4 linked regions of the Arabidopsis thaliana genome follow. The protein of the gene in region 1 interacts with the protein of each later gene in a pairwise test. Each region holds a gene or a part of one and is shown on either strand. Other genes may lie near its edges. The genes, in order: AT5G19130, AT5G42420, AT4G12000 and NRAMP3.

Region 1 (5,697 bases):
AAGCTTACGCCAAAGCTGCGGGTGAAGCTACATCGGTGCCTCCTGTCGCACCGTTTGGGCTCTGCTTCACTAGTGACGTAGATTTTCCGGCGGTAGATCTAGCGTTGCAGAGTGAGATGGTGCGGTGGAGGATTCATGGGAAGAATCTGATGGTGGATGTTGGTGGTGGAGTCCGATGCTCGGGGATTGTTGACGGCGGGTCAAGTCGAGTCAACCCGATTGTAATGGGTGGGCTACAATTAGAAGGCTTTATATTGGACTTTGATTTGGGTAACTCAATGATGGGCTTTGGACAAAGAACACGCTCTGATTCAACTTCGTTGTAATACAGAAACCTTTGTAATTGTAACCTTCTAATTATCTGGTAGATATCCTCAATTTTGATCTCTTTTGAGTGTACTCTTTTCTTACAATACCTGCTACAAGCAATCATGCATTTGTACAACTAATAGATCTAATTTAAGAAACAGCTATTACTTAAATGAAGTAAAAATACAGTGCTTAAAACTAAAAATCAATACAAAAAACAGAAACTTCACTCATTCATCGCATTTTTAGTTTTCTAACGATACATCAGACCTCTAACTGCTAATTACCATGCGACAACTAGAACATATGACAAATTCCAACAAGTGTGGACAACTGTCACCGAAGTAAAGGAAATAACTGTGACCTTCCTTGTATGGAGATTGGGACGTAAAATAAGAATTAAGAAGGATGAAACAAGATGCAGAGGCAAAGGAGCCAGCAAGGAAGATGAACCATACCTATGTATAGATATGTTGCACTCTTCCACGCCCAAAGCGACTCTAACCATGTCCAAAACTCTCCTCCAAGACTCAACCCTACGAGGCCTTCTCCAAGCAACCCTTTAGAGATTGCAAAAAACATGACCGGGAACCCGATTGTCAGCAATACAATACTGCAAAACGCACCCAACAGGCTCTTAAGGCGTCTGGATCTCAAAGCGGGTTTTATAGGCTGAGCCATAAGACACGTTGGCACTAGTAGCAACGCTCCAATCTCTGCGGTGGCAAAATTGATTATGGACATGAGGCATAGGCCGATGAAGGCAGCTGAGATGGTCACTGATTTCAAGATGGCCCAGTTGGTTCCATGGAGTCGAGAGGAGAACGGAGAGCAACCAGGCATTGTGACAAAGGTTATAAGGAGAAGCGACGAAGAGGTAGTGCCCCACATGATGGAGCGGTTTGTTGGAGAATGTTGGCCCGGTACTTGACAGATGAAATAAGGTAGCAGCGTGACAATGAAACCCAACAAGTGCAAAGTAAAGACCTGTTTCGCTGCATCTAGCCATTTCCAAGACTTGAAGTTTTCGGTTGGGTTATGAGTGGAATTGGTAAGAGATTTACAGCCATCGATGTATAAAGAGGCTGCGACCATTGGAAGAGGGGCAACAAGAAGAGCAAAGGCAATCATGTAGACTCCTACAGAGATAAATTTGCTTGGCGAAGTTAACATGTAAAGGAAAAACGATTGATGGAACTTCTCAAGGAGGTTGTTCACTGATCTTATAGTTCCTTCCAGTAACCTGCGTTTAAAGAGAAAGCACAGAGTTATCATCGAACACTCATACAGAGTCAATGAGTAGAAAACATTAAAACTCTTAAATTCCACTGTAGCATAAATGATATATTGTAGTACTTTAGCATTACAAAATGCACATACACTAGCAGAGGTAGGTAAACGGTATAAAATGGGAACGAATGAAAATATAAAAACAAAAACTCACCGGGCACCTCGTAGAAAGAAATCGTGTTGTCTTGTCTTACTGTCAGGAGGAAATCTAGGTGAAACTTTCAAAGTTATAGCATCAACTTGATAATCGCGGAAAGCTCCATGGGGACCAGTTGGGATACCAAGGGCCTGATGAGAATGAATAACAAAAGAAAGAAACATTTTCTGTCAGCTTTCAAGGTCTTTCCTAGTTAAAATGTATCAGTGTGACTGCAACCACAAGATGCCAAGAACTTAATTAAGGACAGATCAGTTGTACATTTTACCTGGGAGTACAGTGAACTTGCAAGGGTAGCACTGCCTTCAAGATAGTCTGCAGCTGGGATACCAAAATTCCAGTCCGGATTTAACATATGCGCCAATTTCCCAACAGCTTCAAATATTTCCCCAAAAATCTTTAGCCAACTAGAGGAAAGTAAAGATACAACCTTCTCAACCTTGACATAAAACCCCTGCCTGTGCACCGCTAAGTAATTTACAACATTGATGAGGTCGAGATTTGGCATCTGCCCATTAGATGCCTCTGCATAGATACTTAGTGTGTCCTCAAACTTTTCACTTCTACCATCAACCTTCAAAACCAAAGCAGCAGCCATTGTTCCAGCTCGTCTGAAGTTATCAGCTGTATTTTGCTCGTCACACTTCAGAAGATCCGAGACCTTAAATGAAGGTGAGTGGTATTCAGTTAACCACGCAGCAACAGGCCTATAGTCTCCATAACGAGAATCAGCGACAAGCCATATTATGTCTTTGGAAAGCCAGGTAACTCTAGAGAGCAAGGAAAAAAGAGAACTGACAATTCCTAAAGACAAATCCTCATAGTCTCCACCATTTATAAAATCATAGGGAGTAACCAGCACAATAGACTCTTTTCCATCACCACGAGGGGCTCTTATAATCCCCGCAACATTGACCCCATAAGAAGCACAACTGACATTCTCCAGCAATGTATATGAATCTGGACCGGAGAAAAAGTGCAGGGGGTGAAATTGATTCCCTTCAGGATGGAACTTTTGATAAGAAACTTCTGCACCCATATCTGACATGTATTTTCCAATGAGCTTTTGGACTTCACTAGAAAGAAAAATCACACAAATGGAGAAACATTAAGTTACTTGGGCTAGGACCAAAACAGAAGGACAAGTAAAATTCTTCATAACGTAGGAGAAAGCTCTATTTCATGCGAAAACTGAGGGAAGAAAAGACATACACACCCTGGCCTTCATGATTCAACCTAAAGTTCTTTATGTCCTTCACCAGTTTGCTTCCATCAGAAACATCTCGATTAGAGAGCATAGACCGTGCAGAGCCTGAGGATTAGAGTCAAAATAGAAAGTGTAAAACACCAAACAACAACGCATTCAAAGTTGGCAAGCCATAAACTCACATGACTCAACAGTTTTAAACCCTTCTACAGATTCCAATCGTATAGAACACTAATTCCAGGTTAACATGTACAGTATCCAAATGTGGACTTTAATTGAATTCTAAGGTATGTAACAAAACCTGGCATTAGAGCATTCTCGGAGATGTAAGTGTTCTTTGCCAGTAGAGGCAAAAGCAGCAGCGCCAAAACCCCAGCAGCAGAGAAAACCACACTACAAACACAATCAGATCATCAATGAACCAAAAGAGAAAGAATCAAAACATAGAAACTAGTGGAGTAGAAGAGAAAATTATGGTTGAAGATTTACCTGAAAACAGGACTGTGAGCGATGAGGAAGATTCCGAGCCGAACGATTGGTCTCGGTTTGATTTTAGGAGATCCATCATCGGTCTTCACTTCCTCTTCATTATCCCGGTTCACCGCTGCCATGATTCACAGATCTTCGATCAATTTCGGCAGATTCGAACCTACGACGAACTGTGATCTCCGTGGCTTGGGAATTGTAGACGACGGTCAAGTCGGGTCAGCCCGAATAGGGTGGGTGGGCTTAAATTTAGAAGGCTTTGTAATGGACTTTTATTTGGGTGATGGGCTTAAAGTCAGATTAAGATGGTGCAGAATTTTCTTACATACCAAATATAATTGTTATTTTGATTACAAAAGTATATTTATATTTGTTCTTAATTTTAAAAATAAAATGGATAATATCAGTGTTCTTAATTTGTATCTTATTTTAAAATGAAGAAACACTTTTACAATTATGTTATTATCCATTGACTGTTATAGATTTTTTTAAATATTTATTATTATAAATGACCAGTATATGGTATTTTTGCTATTACATCATAGCAAGATGGGAACATGAAATAGTGGGCTATACAGTGCAGTCCATATTATCGCATCAAAGAAAAGCAAAAAAGAAGAGAAACTGCCAAAAGAAATAATGAAAAGTCATGATATGATCCGAAACCAAAAAAGAATATCAAGAAAAAAGAAAAAAAAAGATATATACAGCTGCATAGGAAGTGTTTGTGGGGATGCATAGAGATTAGAGATGATCGAAGCTTAGGTGATTGAGATGGTCCAATAACAAATTTGTTCATTTGAATGATACTGAAGCCTCTAGATCGACCACATATACATCATATTGCTTTTAAAACGCGAGAATATCATAGTTTTGATATGAAGAAATCATTTTTCAACAAACATTTTCTAGAGGATTCTTTCTTAGAGAAATATATGAAATATAGATATATAACGTAACTAGATTTTTACCCGCGGTATACCGTGAAAACAATTTATTTTTTTAAATTAATATATATATAAAAGTTTGTAAATTGTATCTATTTATAAAATGTTTTTATTGTATAGTTTACAATTTTTATTAAGTAACGTCCTGCCAAACCCGTCTCGCCAACCCGTCCTCTAAAAAAAACTCATTTATTTTATTAATGTTGATCTTATTTATGATATGTTTATGAATTATTGTCTAAATATTTTGTAATTTTATAGTAATTAAATGCTATCAAATATCTATACGGTTTGATGATTATAATCATGGAGAAAAAATATCAAAAATGATAATTTTGTAGTAATTAAATGATATTAAATATTTTAGAAGTTTTATTTTAGTAATTAATCGTGTAGTTAAGGTAGAGAGATTTTGGGAAGATTGTTAAATGTCAAATATTTAATTAGAAGATTTTCTTTCTAATTATCAAAAACAATTATTAAATGCCAGTGACAGCCGCTGTAAATAAATCCCAACTTTAAAATTTATTTCATAAAGTGGCTGCAAAAATGTATATATAAATAGTTAATACCATTCATTATGTTTGGATAATGGTATGTGGCAACAAAAAAATCTTCTATATGTCATGTTCAAATGAGATAATTTTCTTTGAAATAATATTTGTAAAAGATAATAAGCAAAACAATATCAAAGTCGTTTTCAGCTTTTGTAGTTCCCACTCCCAGGCCCATGGTTGGCTTTGCTCGGTCTTTCTTTCTGTTTTCTACGATTGTATTTTGAATAAATAAGTAAATAATACAAACTAGTGGCTGTATTTTATTTTACAATTTAATAAAATGATAATGACGTTTATAATATCAATACAAATATGCCATTCACTGTTTTGCTATTCAATTTACGTTATATTATTGATCAATATTGCGTTTTATTTTTTTGTGTATATGATTTTAATATAGTTTAAATTCTATAGAAAAGTCAAAAACATAATATATACATGATAATCAAAATCTAAAATCATCCATAGACGTGGTTCAATAGCTAAAGCAGTTAAGTTATGGTATTTAATATATGCAGTTTAATCTACAGTAACCGCGAAAAAGGAATTTTTTTTGTTCTGTTTGATTCGACCGATAAAAACGATTTTACATGGGTCGGATAAAACATAAATCAGTTATTTTGTTTAACAAAGTTTTAAAAACAATTTTCTCAAAGTGTGCATGTTAAAATTTACATCTATTATAAAAAAAAACATAAAATCAATTTATTCATTATCAAATTGTTTTGAATAAGAAATCCAATT
Region 2 (3,977 bases), about 11 Mb from region 1:
ATTTGGGAAAAATGTTATTTAATACCTGAACTTTCAAAAAATGGCCAAATTAACCGTGAACTCTTGAAATGGTCGTTTTATACCTCAACAAAAAGTTGACTTCTAATTTAACCTATAATTTATCGTTGACTTCTAATTTAACCTATAATTTGTCGTTGACCCGGCCAAATAGACTCACCGTTAACACTCCTTAACAGCGCTCCTAACAGCCGTTACAAAACATGGCCTAACAGCCGTTATTGTTGGTTTAAGGACAAAAACAGTTGTTAGTTACGCTGTTAGGAGAGCTGTTAAGAAGTGTTAATGGTGAGTCGATTTGGCCGGGTCAACGATAACTTATAGGTTAAATTAGAAGTCAACTTTTTGTTGAGGTATAAAACGGCCATTTCAAAAATTCACGGTTAATTTGGCCACTTTTTGAAAGTTCAGGTATTAAATAACATTTTTCCCCTTCTCATTTACAATTTTCACATTACTTGGGAGCATATGAATGTTTTTATCAGAAGTTCTTTTAAGTCTTCTCCAGTATTCTTGTTTTCACTATCCATATGAATGTTTTATCAAATGGAATATACTCTACATTTGATGTCATATTCTATAAGATAAATAAAGGAATATACTCTTTGAGTGCTACGTAAAACAAGAACATGTGGTCATTGAAGTTATTTCCATGGAATTGGGTAAAAAGATATAAATAACACAAAACATTTGTATAACCAAGGAAACTTTAGATCGAAGCCTAGACACTAATCTCCGAGGATCCGATCTCTTGGTTTAGATAACACAAAACATACAAAAATTATAACAGAACAAATTGTACCTGAAGACTATGTTTCTTTCTCTATCCATCTGTCTCTAATCTTTTGTGCGGCCAAGTTCAACATCTTTTGATTGTGTAGTTTCTACACCTTCCTTCAAAAGTTCAAACTCTTCCTCTGTTAAGCTATGTTTCACACTGTTTAAAGCCTTTGCTGCAATAATCGACTGTTTCTCCAATTCCATTGCCCAACTATAGATTACCATCCCAACAATCGCAACAATCATCCCCGCTACGTTTTTGAAAGTCATTGCAGAATCAAATAGGAGCCATCCAAGCGTGAGGATACAGACGGTTTTCATGTGACCAATAACTTGGAACGATACTGCTGAAAACCGCCCGATGCAAAGGTACTGGCTTATGTTGCAGAACACAGCTAGACCACATGAGAGAAGAATGAATAGCTGCAAATTGTAGAACATTAGCCAATGATAACATAACAATACTAGCAGAGCCATGAAGAGAGATACTTACAAAGCAACCGGAAGACATATTATACTTCATAATGAACTTCCCACTAAGAAGATAATCAACTAAAGGACCGACAACAAGAAGCGAAAAAGCTTGAATCGGCGCTGTTTTACTCAACAACTCAAAGGACCCAATTGAATATTTCTTCTGTAGAGAACCTATTAACTAAGCAACACAGAAGGAAAAAACACCAATTGATCAGATTTGAATTCCACAAGCTTCAAAACCAAATCACCAAACAAAAAGACTTACAATTTGCTGCAAGGATGACGAGAAAATCGCAACACAAGCACAGATAAAACCTTTGGCATTAACTTTAACATCAGTCACAGTACAAATACCAACACCAACAACAACAACCACAACAGATATTTTCACTTCTCTTGAGTATCTCTTGCTATGTAGAATCCATTCCATTACACATACCACAGGAATCATGCTCAGCTTCGAGATCTAATCAACACAAAAAAATGTGAATCCACTAAACCAAAATCAAAGTCTATATATGCTCAAATCAAAGCAATTTGATTCTATATGCTCAAGATCGAGATCGAGATGAATTACTTGGTAGAAGCCAACGGAATTGAGCATGAGACTGAAGTTCATAGCAGCAATAGAGACATTAGCGACAATGGAGAACCAAATAAGCTCCCACATAGGTACATGCTTCGAAGCAGAGAATCCGGTAGCGTTTGATACCATACCGACCAATGCGGTTAAAGCGAAGTGGAAACCGGTGAGAGTTGTAGCTGAGAAAACAGAGATCGGAAAAATCATCAGATCTCAAAAGCGAAATTGATTAAAAAGAGTGAGAGATCGGAGGAAGAAGACGAACCGAAACTAAATGCGAATCCAGAAGAGGACATAAGTTGTTTATTCGCCATGATGATTCCAACGGAGCTTATCACATTCATTGCCCAAGCTCCCATATCGGAGACTGCTGAAGGAGATTTTCTCTCATTCTCCGCCGCCATCTCTGGTCAACTGTCACCACCACCACCGTAGAAGGAGATTTCCGGTGATGCGATCTCGGAGATAGAGAGATAGAGAGAGAAAGAGAGATTCACGCTTTGTTGGAGGCTCACCTTCTGAGAGATTCTCTTTTCTCTCTTTCACGTTGAGAAAAATATCTGACAAATCTCAAATCTGAAATAAATACTTTTAAAAAGGAAGTTGTGTAAGTAGATTTAGTTTTTACTTTACCCGCATCAAAATTCATCATTACAATTACATTAAGAAAATCATTGATTATGTTTTTTTTTTGGACAAGAAAATAATTGATTATGTAGTGACAAAAGTTGTAGATGAGTATTATGACAAAATTGATAATCGAATTTTTTTAGTTGTTGCAAATTTTGATTTTAACGATTTTTTGTAATGAGATTTGAGATTTTCTGTAAATTAAATCTTTAAAAAATATTTCGTGATTTGAAGATTTTCAATTTATTTATTTATGACTAAAGAAACTCTCAATTAGTGGATTAGACAAATAAATCTTGAATTTTGCATTGAATTGACTAAATTATTCACAAACCTTAATCAAAATTATCTGTTGATTTTTTTTATTAACTCTATACAATTTAATTTACAACAAATGTAAATGTCCAAAAATGATATCGTATTTGACACATATATATGGATAAAATAATGTAAACATATTCTAAAATAAATATCATAAGATTGTGTTATGTAAATAATATAATTACAAATATTTGTTTATTTGCATAATTTCCAAATATTTTTAATATTCTTTGAACTTTTTGTGTCACATAATAAATTCTATAACTATGAAACAAACCAACTGTGTGAGAGTACTTTTTAGCTAATATTTTGAATAAAACTATTATTTTCATAAAAACCAATACATATTTATCGAACTGATAATATTATTTTCCCTCTCTTTTTTGTATATGAATATTTTTAAATTTTTCACCATGCATCATTTCTAAGGAAAGTAGGAATAATTAATATGTTTATAATTTACTATATATAAAAAACAACACAAATAAAAGAAAATGACACAAATATATAGTAGTGCTTGTTGACCAGTAACTTAGGCAGATTATGAGGCGAAGGGAACCTCTTTTCATGCTGCCGTTATTTTTGCATTACGCAAAGTCAAAGTCAAAGTCTGTTGGTAACTTTTTGTTTAAGCAGCCAATCCATAAAAGTAAGTCATAACTTTGCATTTTCTTCATGAACTAGTGGAGATCACATTAAAATATTTCGTTTTTTCATGTAAGAAGCATGAATATTTACGATAATGTAACTGATAAATAAAAAGATGACTGGAGAAGTTTTTTTAAAATAATAATAATTAAAGAACATAAATCGATAATACAAAAACAAAACGGAAAGATGAAAAGGAATTATCGTAGAGGTGAGACATTATCAATTTTCTTAATTCCTTAGATATCCAAAAATACAACTATAATATTTTTTCAGACTTATATAAGAATAACTATAGAAGCTTACAACCAAATGAGTTATTAGATCAAATGGTTTCATCAATTCAATGAGTTGAGTTGTAAACTTATAATGAGTTAACATATTAAATATTAATGAGTCTAAGCAGAACTTCTATACTGATTAAATATTATTAATCTTTTCCAAAAAAATATAAAAATATATATACATATATAAACCACACTTCAAAAGAAAATTTAGATTTTCTCGAGAGTTAGTTTTG
Region 3 (5,057 bases), on another chromosome or scaffold:
TGAATTTGAAAGTCATTTTCCTATAGAAAAGCATGTGTTTCACCAGATGACAAATTACCATTAATGAGCAATGGATTTTATTCGCATGAAAAAGACACATAGATAGACTGTTGAAAGTGGTACCGAGTCAGAAGCATATATAGTTTAATTCAAACCAGAATATTCAGAAAATGCAAACTACATTAAGTCTTGACATGTAACTTTTTTACTGCTGATTGAATACACATACTTTAATCTAAAAGAAATATTTAGAGAATAAGACAAATATTTAATTTTGTGGTTCATAGGTAGGACAAAATGTAAATGGCTTTACATATACTTTTAGACAAAAGTGTTTCAAAGGATATTGGGTTTTGGACCAAAAGCATTTTTGAAGGGAATTAAGACAACATTTATTTCGGGATGAGAGTAGTTGAACATATTTGTTGTGTTATAGGACTTAGGAGAGCTTCAAATGCACCAGTATAAAAATAAAAAAAAATAAAAAAACTGAATCAATTATTGATCGATTCTTGTAAGTATATCTTTAAAATTTGAAAAAGCTTATGTAGAAAATTGGTTTATATTTAGCTTCATATTTTAGAATTATATATATTTCACATAAAGTTATTTCAATTCCACTTTGTATCTTATGCAAGAGACAAATGACTCGCAGAAGCACTTCATTTTCTAGTGTGAATTTTCAAGCAGAATATAGATGTCCAAATCCGATACTAGAAAAACCGCAGCTTCAAATCCCCAAGAACTCTCCATATAGTTCTTCTCCTCTTATCTCTCGCACTCTTCACTTGGGCAGATTCACACTGGTTTCACAAACCGCAAAAAAAAAAAAATGGTAATTAAAACAGTCTTTGATTAATTTTAGTAGAAATCCATTTAACAAAAGATTCGATTTGGTCTAGAATAACTCCATTATTTCAAATTGAAAAAATATAGATCATACATATTGTGATGAATCATAGCTAAGGTTTCTTCTTCAATTCCACCATTTAATATGTCGAACGCATAGCAATGTCGTACTCGTAGGCTACAAATAACTCTTGACCATTATAGTTCGAAAAAGAGACGCATTTGATTTTGATAGAAACAATTAAATGGCCATCTAAGCTATATTGGGCTTTTTCTCAATGCAGCCCATAATATTCGAAGTGCAAGTTTTCACTAGTCACCTACGAATATCTGACACAACACTTGCACTATTTACCAATTAGACAATTTCCAATCTTCATAGTTAGTTCATACTTACTAGAGAATATAAACGAGAAAACGAAGGAGGAGTAATGATCTTAAGTTTTCAATTGATCCATTCTTTTCAAACATCAAAAAACAAAAGATTGAGAAAACGCAAATAAGATTAAATCGTGTTAGAGAGTTTAGTTAGTGTTTATATAGTCATTATAATTTCTTTTATACCCTTTCATTTCTCGGCTATAAACAAACCAAAACAGAGACCAAAAATCAAGAGTTCTTTCACATCATGGACGAAAACCTGTACTTTGGGAATAAGCAGAGACATAACTTCTGAGGTTGTTGTCTCCATTACTGTAACAACAAAGCTTCCTTCTCCTTCTTCATAACTTCAAGCTGTCTTTTCGCATACTTAGTGATGAGAACAGTTGTCACAACAGTTGCTACAAAACCAAAAATGTTGAGAACAATTTGAAGAATCGAGAGACCCTTTTGTTCCGCAGTGGATGCATCTGCCAATGTCCTTATAAGAATCCCTCTGCAAACACCAAAACAAACAAAAATACTATCAGGATGCTAAATCAATCATTCATTCATTACCAAGAAAATTGTAAGTCATTTCCACACTTACGTATAAATTGCGACAAAAATCTCCGGCGCCATGCCTACGAGAGAACCAGCCATGTAAGGACCGAACTTCACACGAGTTGCAACAGCGCAGTAATTATATACAGCAAAAGGAAATGGAGAAATCCGGATTAAGGTAACTGCACGAAACTGATGAAACCAACTGCCTCCACCAGCAGCTCTCAACATTGCAGCTTGATCTGGATATCTTTCTAACCAACCCTGCAACATTCATCAATTTCAGCAACATACAAAGTAGTCGTTACTAAGAATATAACTGGTTCTTAAGCGAGACACATACTTGAATTTTGTTGAGGAAGAGATAGCTGATGAAGTAAGGAAGTGAAACACCAATAGCTACAGCTGGAAGAGTAAGGAGAAGGCCATAGAAATAACCAAATGTAATCCCAGCCACCCACATTGACGGCGTAGTTGGAATAAGTATCACAGGGAATAAAGAGACTGATGCAAACACAAGAATACCGCACACAGGGTGTGTAAATGTCTCCATCTCCCATTTTATGAGTGGGATTAGCTCCTGCAAACAAAAGTTAAATGGATAATCCCATAATCAGCAACAGAGCCAAATATGTCACTGACTGAATTTGTCACCAGCATCGAAAATCTACCGATTTTAGACACAGAACATCAACAACGAAACCTCACTTTGGTTATTGGATACTGAGCTAATCGTAGGGATACATAGTTTCAATTCACATGAACCAAAATCATAAAGGAACCTCTTTTATACACTAAGGATCTAATTCAGTAGTTGAAACTATAATCAAACCCAATAGATAAAGAAGAAGACTTTCAGAAGAAGATCAATTCAACAAGAAATCATTGGAGGAAATTGAAAACCTTATCCATGATTAAAGGGTATAGCCATTTGTAACCAGCGAGACCCAAAGCAGTTAGAAAAGTGAAGAAAAGACCAAGCTTGATCCAAAACCAAACAGATCGTTTCTGTCCACATGAAGAAGAAGAAGACGGTGATGATGAAGATTCTTGTTCTGTTTCTTGTCGATGTACTTCGAAATCTTCAGTAAGTTTAACATAATGACCTAATTTATCAACTCCATCTTCTTCAACTCTAACTCGAAATTCAGAAACTGTATCGTCTTCTTCGTGATAAGTCATCGAGTAGAAAAAAAGAGAGCGCTAGATTAGTAATCGACTGGATTCTCCGATCGGATTCAGAGAGAAAAACCCAGTGATGGAAAAATTGAATGACTCAACGAATCGAAAGAAACCTGGGGATGAAGGAAGGATTGAGAATAACAAATAAAGAAGATTTGTGTGATTTTGGAGAAAGATGAGTTTTTTTCTTTTTTCGGTTTGTTTGTTAATGTCATGGCTTGACGCATGTACCCATTCTTTTAAATTATTTTCTTATTACTTTATGATTTCTTCCGTCGTTACTTGCATTTTTTTATATTTTTTATTCAGTTTACCAAAAATTCTAGGAAATATAAAATAGTTATTTCACGGTTGACGAAAAATAATAAAATATGTAGTTTGAAAACACCTGGACCATGTCGGCATAAAAGCGTGTGGATATTGTTAGAAAGAAAAAAAATAATAATTTAAGGCCCCTACCAAATTTTACATTGTAAGATTTTAAGGTCTCAAAATAATTAGGGACAAATATTTTGGTGTAGTTGTAAAATTTGTTTTGATTGGGAGGTGTATATTATAAAACCAGATTTTAAATCCGTAATATACCGCATGATAATTTTTTTTTCTAATATATATATATATATATAAAATATAAAATTTTAAATTATTTATCTTTATATAATATTTTTTTTGTTTTGTTTACGATTGTTATTAAGTAACATATACCACGAATTTAAGAACAATAATTAAAACTTGAGGATTTAATTCGTATTAAACCAGCATATTACTGATATTTTAAAAATTTATAAATATTGATTCAAACTCATCTACTATAATCCGTTCCACAATATAAACCGTCTTGTAATCTCTTAACTCATCTCATGTAATATTTAATAAAAATATTAAAATTAAAAATTATTTATTATATATAAGTTTTTAAATTATATCATTTTCTGAGATATTTATATTTTATAATTTAATTGTTACTAAAAACATTATATTACTATATATATTTTATTTTATATAATTTTTGTAAATCAGACTGATTTATATGTATAATATTGATAGTATCAAAAAATAATAAATTTAAAACTTAAACTATATTAAAACAATATATTAATGATATTTTAATTTTTTTATTAATATTATTTTTAAAATTCGTTCCGTTAAATTTGTCTCGATAAGAATTTATTTATTTTATTAATATTAATATTAATCTGAATTACTATTTAAATATTATAGTTAATGTAAAATATTAAATACATATATTTTTAAATTGAATAATATATGTTGGTTTCTTACTAGGCATTACTAGACATTCATCAACGAAGTGAGATGGTGGCCATACACGTGGCCACAAATAAGGAGGTTAGCTTGTCGCGGGTTTCCCACTTTTTGAGCTTTTATTTTAATTTTATTATACGTGTTTAATTTCACCGACCAATAATCCACTGTGGTCGACATTCCGTATTCTCCGTGGACCCGGTTTTCGCAATTTCCCAATTTCCTCAATTTCGATTTGTCTTTGTCACCACAATCTGACGACGCCATCGCCGCAATGCCTTCCACCACCGAAACGGCAACATTTCCGATATCTTTCCCGCGAGCTACTTTTCTACTGTTCCGAGATCGAATTTTCTTCTTCTCGACTCGTCACAAAAACGCCTATTCTCACTTTCACCGCTCTTGGATTTTAATGGATATCTCTTGAAACCTCTCCGGCCATCTTCTCTTCGGCCATACTCTGAAATTTGGATTCCAAATTTATCAAAATTATAAATTTGATGGAAAAAAACGTGAAACAAGATTCACAAAGTTTCAGAATCCACGAGGTTGGTTGATCCAAGCAATCTGTTTTTCTTCTTTCTCCTGAGATTAAAGTGTTTGTTTAGAAATTGACTGTGCTTTGACATGTTACATCATTTTCTCCAGTATATGTTTAATCTTTGAAAATTGGTTTGGTATGAAGTTTCAGGTGACATTATGCCGTTTGAGATTTACATGTGAGGTTTATGCAACCATACAATGCACTCTGAGTGATTTGACAACCGTGGTAAGTGCTCTCTTAACTTCTATGTATGTGTGTAGTTCTAGCTCCATATGTGGAATCGACATTTCGAAAT
Region 4 (4,803 bases), on another chromosome or scaffold:
ATTTTAATATTTGTTTTTGATAATTAGAAAAAAAAATTTCGAATTAAATATTTGATATTTAACAATTTCCCTAAAATCTCTCTACATTAACTACACGATTGGTTACTAAAATAAAACTTTCAAAATATTTAATATCATTTAATTACTACAAAATTATCATTATTGATATTGTTTTTCTGCATGACTATTACAATTCAATTATAATCATCAAACCGTAGAGATATTTGATAGCATTTAATTACTAGATAATTTTAAAAATAAATGATTCATAAACATATGATAAATAAGATCAACATTAATAAAATAAAACGGGACGGGTTGGCGGAACGGGTTTGGCAGGACGTTACTTAATAACAATTCTTAACTAGAAAATAAAAATATTTTATAGATAGTTACATAGATAGTTACAAATTGTAAACTTTTATATATACTAATTTTAAAGTATAAATTGTCTCCGCGGTATACCGCGGGTGAAAATCTAGTATATACATATTTTAATAAGATATCTTTTATTATCATTTAATGAAAACATTAAATATGTACTTGTTTTTTGTTTCTCTTATAATTCAGGTACTTTGAACAATTAAATAGATAATTTAGCACAAAAGGTATACTATATCCATATAACATTATATTTGTAATCTATGTGCCATCCATTTCTAAACTTTGTAACTTTAACATAGTTGTTGACAATAGAAGTTGCACTAAAAGATTGTTTTTTATAATTATGTGTAAAGAATAATTTACAAAAAATTGGTGAAAGGATGGATATCTTTTGCAAATTTACCAAGAAAAAAAAAAGAAGAGAATATCGGAGGTGAGAGACGTGTATCCACGAGCCAACCATGTTTAATATCAGGCTTGGTTCCCACTATTGCATGACATGGCATCATCCCCATGGTTCTTTCGATCTCGCCAGGTCATCAACCTAAGTGGACCATTTATTTCGCATGATACACACCACCTGTTTATTTCTTTATTTGCTTTTTTATTCCCTATACATGCTTTTTGATTTTGATATATACTGTTCGAGGAAACAATACTCCTAAATAGTATAGAAATATTTTAAGAAGACAGAAATATAAATAATTATATTAAAAATCTTAACATTAGTTACAATATATTAATAAATTCAACAAACAGTTTATATATAGTTTATTCATGTTTGAAGCAAAACAAAGTTTAAAAACAAATATTTTCGCATGTTACTTTATCACAAAAAATGATCTAATTATACTAAAAATGATAAATTTATCGAATCTATTTAATATTTTGAAAAGGATTCTATTTACACTATACATATCTATGGACTACGATAGACATTTTTATTTTTAACACACGAGGCCACAAACGAAGGTATACGTGATGCATGAACACTGTGAAGTGTGAAGCTTCCTATATAATCTACATGTTGATGAACGCTCGATAAAATTATAAACCTAATTATTAGTCCAAAGAAATTCTACAAAAATTCTCTATTTAAAAAAAAAAAGATAGTGAAAAAATGTGTCCGTAAGTAAATAAGCGAATTAAATGTAAAATCTGTCCCAGAAAAACAAACAAAACTAAACTAGAAAAGAGAAATTTGAATTTACTTTTCCAAATTCCATTTACACATCAAAATTTTATTTATTTGTTTATGAGTGATTATCCGAATTACCTCCACCAAATAAAACCCTATCTTATTTCCCCCTAAATTATTAGAAAAATATAAAGTGATTAAGATTCTTTTGAAAGTTTGTGTTTATACTTTATCTTGTACTAAGAGAAACAGAACTTCCCTATAAAAAGCAAAAGCAAGTAAGAATAACGTGTTAAACTAAAACCTCGAAAACAACAAAACCCGAAACTGAAACAGAGAATCCAAAAAAAATGCCACAACTCGAGAACAACGAGCCACTTCTAATCAACGAGGAAGAAGAAGAAGAAACAGCGTACGATGAAACAGAGAAGGTACATATCGTAAGAAACGAAGAGGAGGACGATCTAGAACACGGCGTCGGATGCGGCGGCGCACCACCGTTCTCATGGAAGAAGCTATGGTTATTCACCGGACCTGGGTTTTTAATGAGCATTGCGTTTTTAGATCCAGGGAATCTCGAAGGAGATCTTCAAGCCGGTGCGGTTGCTGGGTACTCTTTGTTATGGCTTCTCATGTGGGCAACAGCAATGGGTCTTTTGGTTCAGCTTTTGTCGGCTAGGCTTGGTGTTGCGACAGGTCGTCACTTAGCTGAGCTTTGTCGTGATGAGTATCCTACTTGGGCAAGAATGGTTTTGTGGGTTATGGCTGAATTGGCTTTGATTGGATCTGATATTCAAGAAGTTATTGGTAGTGCTATTGCTATCAAGATTTTGAGTAATGGGATTTTGCCTCTTTGGGCTGGTGTTGTTATTACTGCTCTTGATTGGTAAATTCTCAATTTTTAGACATGTGTCTTCTTGTGTTATTGTTTCATTTGTCTGTGTTTGGTCCCAGTTTTGTCTTTTTGGTTTATGGTTCTAATAGCAGTTTAGCTAATCTAATCTATGGATTGTTTGAATTTGGTGTTAGTTAACCATTAGCTGTGTTAATTTCATCTTTACACATGAATTTTTGTCACTATGTGCTCATTTGGTCATTGATTCATATGTGTGTTTTGCTCAAAGTTTTGGTCTTTTTGTTGGAATCAGGAAACTCTAGTGAGTGTTTATGGTTCTAATTGTAATTTAGCTAATCTATTCTATGGATTGCTCAAATTATTATGTGTTAATTGATTAGCTGTGTTAATGTCTCGTGGAATTTCATCTTTCGGTGTGAGTTTTTGGTGTTATGTATCTCATTGATTCATATGTATGTGTTTTGGTCACAGTTTCGTCTTCTTGTTTCTTGAGAACTACGGAATAAGGAAGCTCGAGGCTGTGTTTGCAGTTCTTATCGCTACAATGGGAGTCTCATTCGCTTGGATGTTTGGTCAAGCTAAGCCAAGTGGCTCTGAGCTTCTCATTGGTTAGGCTTTCTTTCTTCTCTTTATCATTTTCTTAATGGAACAGTCTTTTAACTTTTTAAGTTCTGAAGAAGTTAGATTTCTCTTGTTGCAGGGATTTTGGTACCGAAACTGAGTTCAAGAACGATACAGAAAGCAGTTGGAGTTGTGGGTTGCATTATAATGCCACACAATGTGTTTCTTCACTCAGCTCTTGTTCAATCTAGAGAAGTCGATAAACGACAGAAATACCGAGTCCAAGAAGCGCTAAACTACTACACAATAGAATCCACAATTGCTCTTTTCATCTCCTTTTTGATCAATCTGTTTGTCACAACTGTTTTCGCCAAAGGGTTTTATAATACTGACCTCGCCAATAGCATCGGTTTGGTTAACGCGGGACAGTATCTTCAGGAGAAATATGGAGGCGGTGTGTTCCCGATACTATACATTTGGGCGATCGGGCTATTAGCTGCTGGCCAAAGCAGCACTATTACCGGTACATATGCGGGACAGTTCATAATGGGCGGGTTTCTTAATTTCAAAATGAAGAAATGGTTGAGAGCTTTGATCACACGAAGCTGCGCTATCATTCCAACTATTATCGTTGCGCTAGTGTTTGATTCATCGGAAGCTACACTCGATGTCTTAAACGAGTGGCTTAACGTGCTTCAGTCCATTCAAATCCCCTTTGCACTCATTCCCTTACTTTGTTTGGTCTCCAAGGAACAAATCATGGGTAGCTTCAAGATTGGTCCTTTGTACAAGGTTTGTCAATTTCGTTCAAACTCTTTTACTAACATTCTTTAAAGATCGCTTTATTAAGCTCGATCTCACCTTGTTGTGCAGACAATCGCGTGGCTTGTTGCTGCGCTCGTGATAATGATCAACGGTTATCTTTTGTTGGAGTTCTTCTCCAATGAGGTTAGTGGCATAGTCTATACCGGTTTTGTGACACTGTTCACAGCTTCTTATGGTGCATTCATCCTCTACCTCATTGCTCGTGGCATCACTTTCACTCCTTGGCCGTTCAAAGCGGAGTCTAGTCATTGAGACTGGACCAAACAAGACAGTGTAAGCGTAGTAGCTATGTCTTGTAATCCTTAGGATCATGAGTTCTTAGCTTTCTCTCTTGTATTATATGTGTTGTTGTTATAAAGCAGCTCTGGTTTTGTTGAAGAAGGCTCTTCTATGTATCAGTAGTTAGGTCCCAGAGACGAGAATTAATAAGAATATGTTCACATCTAAACCAATGTTGACACAGATCAAAAGAAACTTTGGGGAACATTCCCAAAAGTGTACATTTAATCGTCCGATCAGAGTTTCACAGTTTCAAGGATTCTCAAATACTTTAAAGTACATATTGTGGATATAGTCAGGGCAAATTCGATACACAAGGTAAAATGATGGAACCAAAATTTCCATAGATAAACACAAAATCTACTTGTTCTAATATGGTATATTATTAAGGGCTTTGTCCCGATCTATTACATTGGCATCTATGTTTTTGTTAATGTATTTTGGGAAGTGCAGTCTTGCTCATCTTGGCATTCATTGCCTCTTTGTCTTCCCTCTTGTTTGGAGTGGTTTGTTTTGGGTACAAACCAACGTCCCACATTTGAAGTTTAGAAAATAGTTTCCCATATATAAGCAAGTTCAACTTCAACTAGTAAGAGACATTTTGGGAAGGAGATCAATAACAAATCCTTGCGGATTTGAGCATGTAGATTCAAAAAGGACAATATTATACTAAAGGGGAGTTGGAATGGGCTTGGAAAGCCTAATAAATGGTGTTGAACGTGGGTTGAAAAAAATGGACCTAGGGCTTGGACTGTATAAT

Evidence for each region.
Region 2: the proteins of AT5G19130 (region 1) and AT5G42420 interact in a protein complementation assay, tested with the Arabidopsis thaliana proteins (one large-scale study listed by BioGRID).
Region 3: the proteins of AT5G19130 (region 1) and AT4G12000 interact in a protein complementation assay, tested with the Arabidopsis thaliana proteins (one large-scale study listed by BioGRID).
Region 4: the proteins of AT5G19130 (region 1) and NRAMP3 interact in a protein complementation assay, tested with the Arabidopsis thaliana proteins (one large-scale study listed by BioGRID).

Annotation. Positions count from the first base shown.
Region 1 is NC_003076.8:6,415,420-6,421,116, forward strand, and holds AT5G19130 (GPI transamidase component family protein / Gaa1-like family protein), read right to left. Parts: upstream 3,694-5,697; 5' UTR 3,575-3,693; coding exon 3,453-3,574; intron 3,357-3,452; coding exon 3,265-3,356; intron 3,069-3,264; coding exon 2,969-3,068; intron 2,833-2,968; coding exon 2,025-2,832; intron 1,888-2,024; coding exon 1,754-1,887; intron 1,553-1,753; coding exon 709-1,552; 3' UTR 501-708; downstream 1-500. Other genes in the region: AT5G19120 (Eukaryotic aspartyl protease family protein), read left to right, coding at 1-326.
Region 2 is NC_003076.8:16,967,104-16,971,080, reverse strand, and holds AT5G42420 (Nucleotide-sugar transporter family protein), read right to left. Parts: upstream 2,427-3,977; 5' UTR 2,263-2,426; coding exon 2,124-2,262; intron 2,038-2,123; coding exon 1,853-2,037; intron 1,742-1,852; coding exon 1,541-1,741; intron 1,454-1,540; coding exon 1,292-1,453; intron 1,222-1,291; coding exon 856-1,221; 3' UTR 554-855; downstream 1-553. UniProt on the Arabidopsis thaliana protein: Nucleotide-sugar transporter that transports UDP-rhamnose or UDP-galactose and UMP in a strict counter-exchange mode.
Region 3 is NC_003075.7:7,191,988-7,197,044, forward strand, and holds AT4G12000 (SNARE associated Golgi protein family), read right to left. Parts: upstream 3,230-5,057; 5' UTR 2,956-3,229; coding exon 2,677-2,955; intron 2,354-2,676; coding exon 2,117-2,353; intron 2,038-2,116; coding exon 1,820-2,037; intron 1,727-1,819; coding exon 1,540-1,726; 3' UTR 546-1,539; downstream 1-545. Other genes in the region: AT4G12005 (uncharacterized protein), read left to right, coding at 4,719-4,766, 4,904-5,057.
Region 4 is NC_003071.7:9,855,635-9,860,437, reverse strand, and holds NRAMP3 (natural resistance-associated macrophage protein 3), read left to right. Parts: upstream 1-1,659; 5' UTR 1,660-1,872; coding exon 1,873-2,408; intron 2,409-2,849; coding exon 2,850-2,986; intron 2,987-3,078; coding exon 3,079-3,731; intron 3,732-3,812; coding exon 3,813-4,016; 3' UTR 4,017-4,289; downstream 4,290-4,803. UniProt on the Arabidopsis thaliana protein: Vacuolar metal transporter involved in intracellular metal homeostasis. Can transport iron (Fe), manganese (Mn) and cadmium (Cd). Regulates metal accumulation under Fe starvation.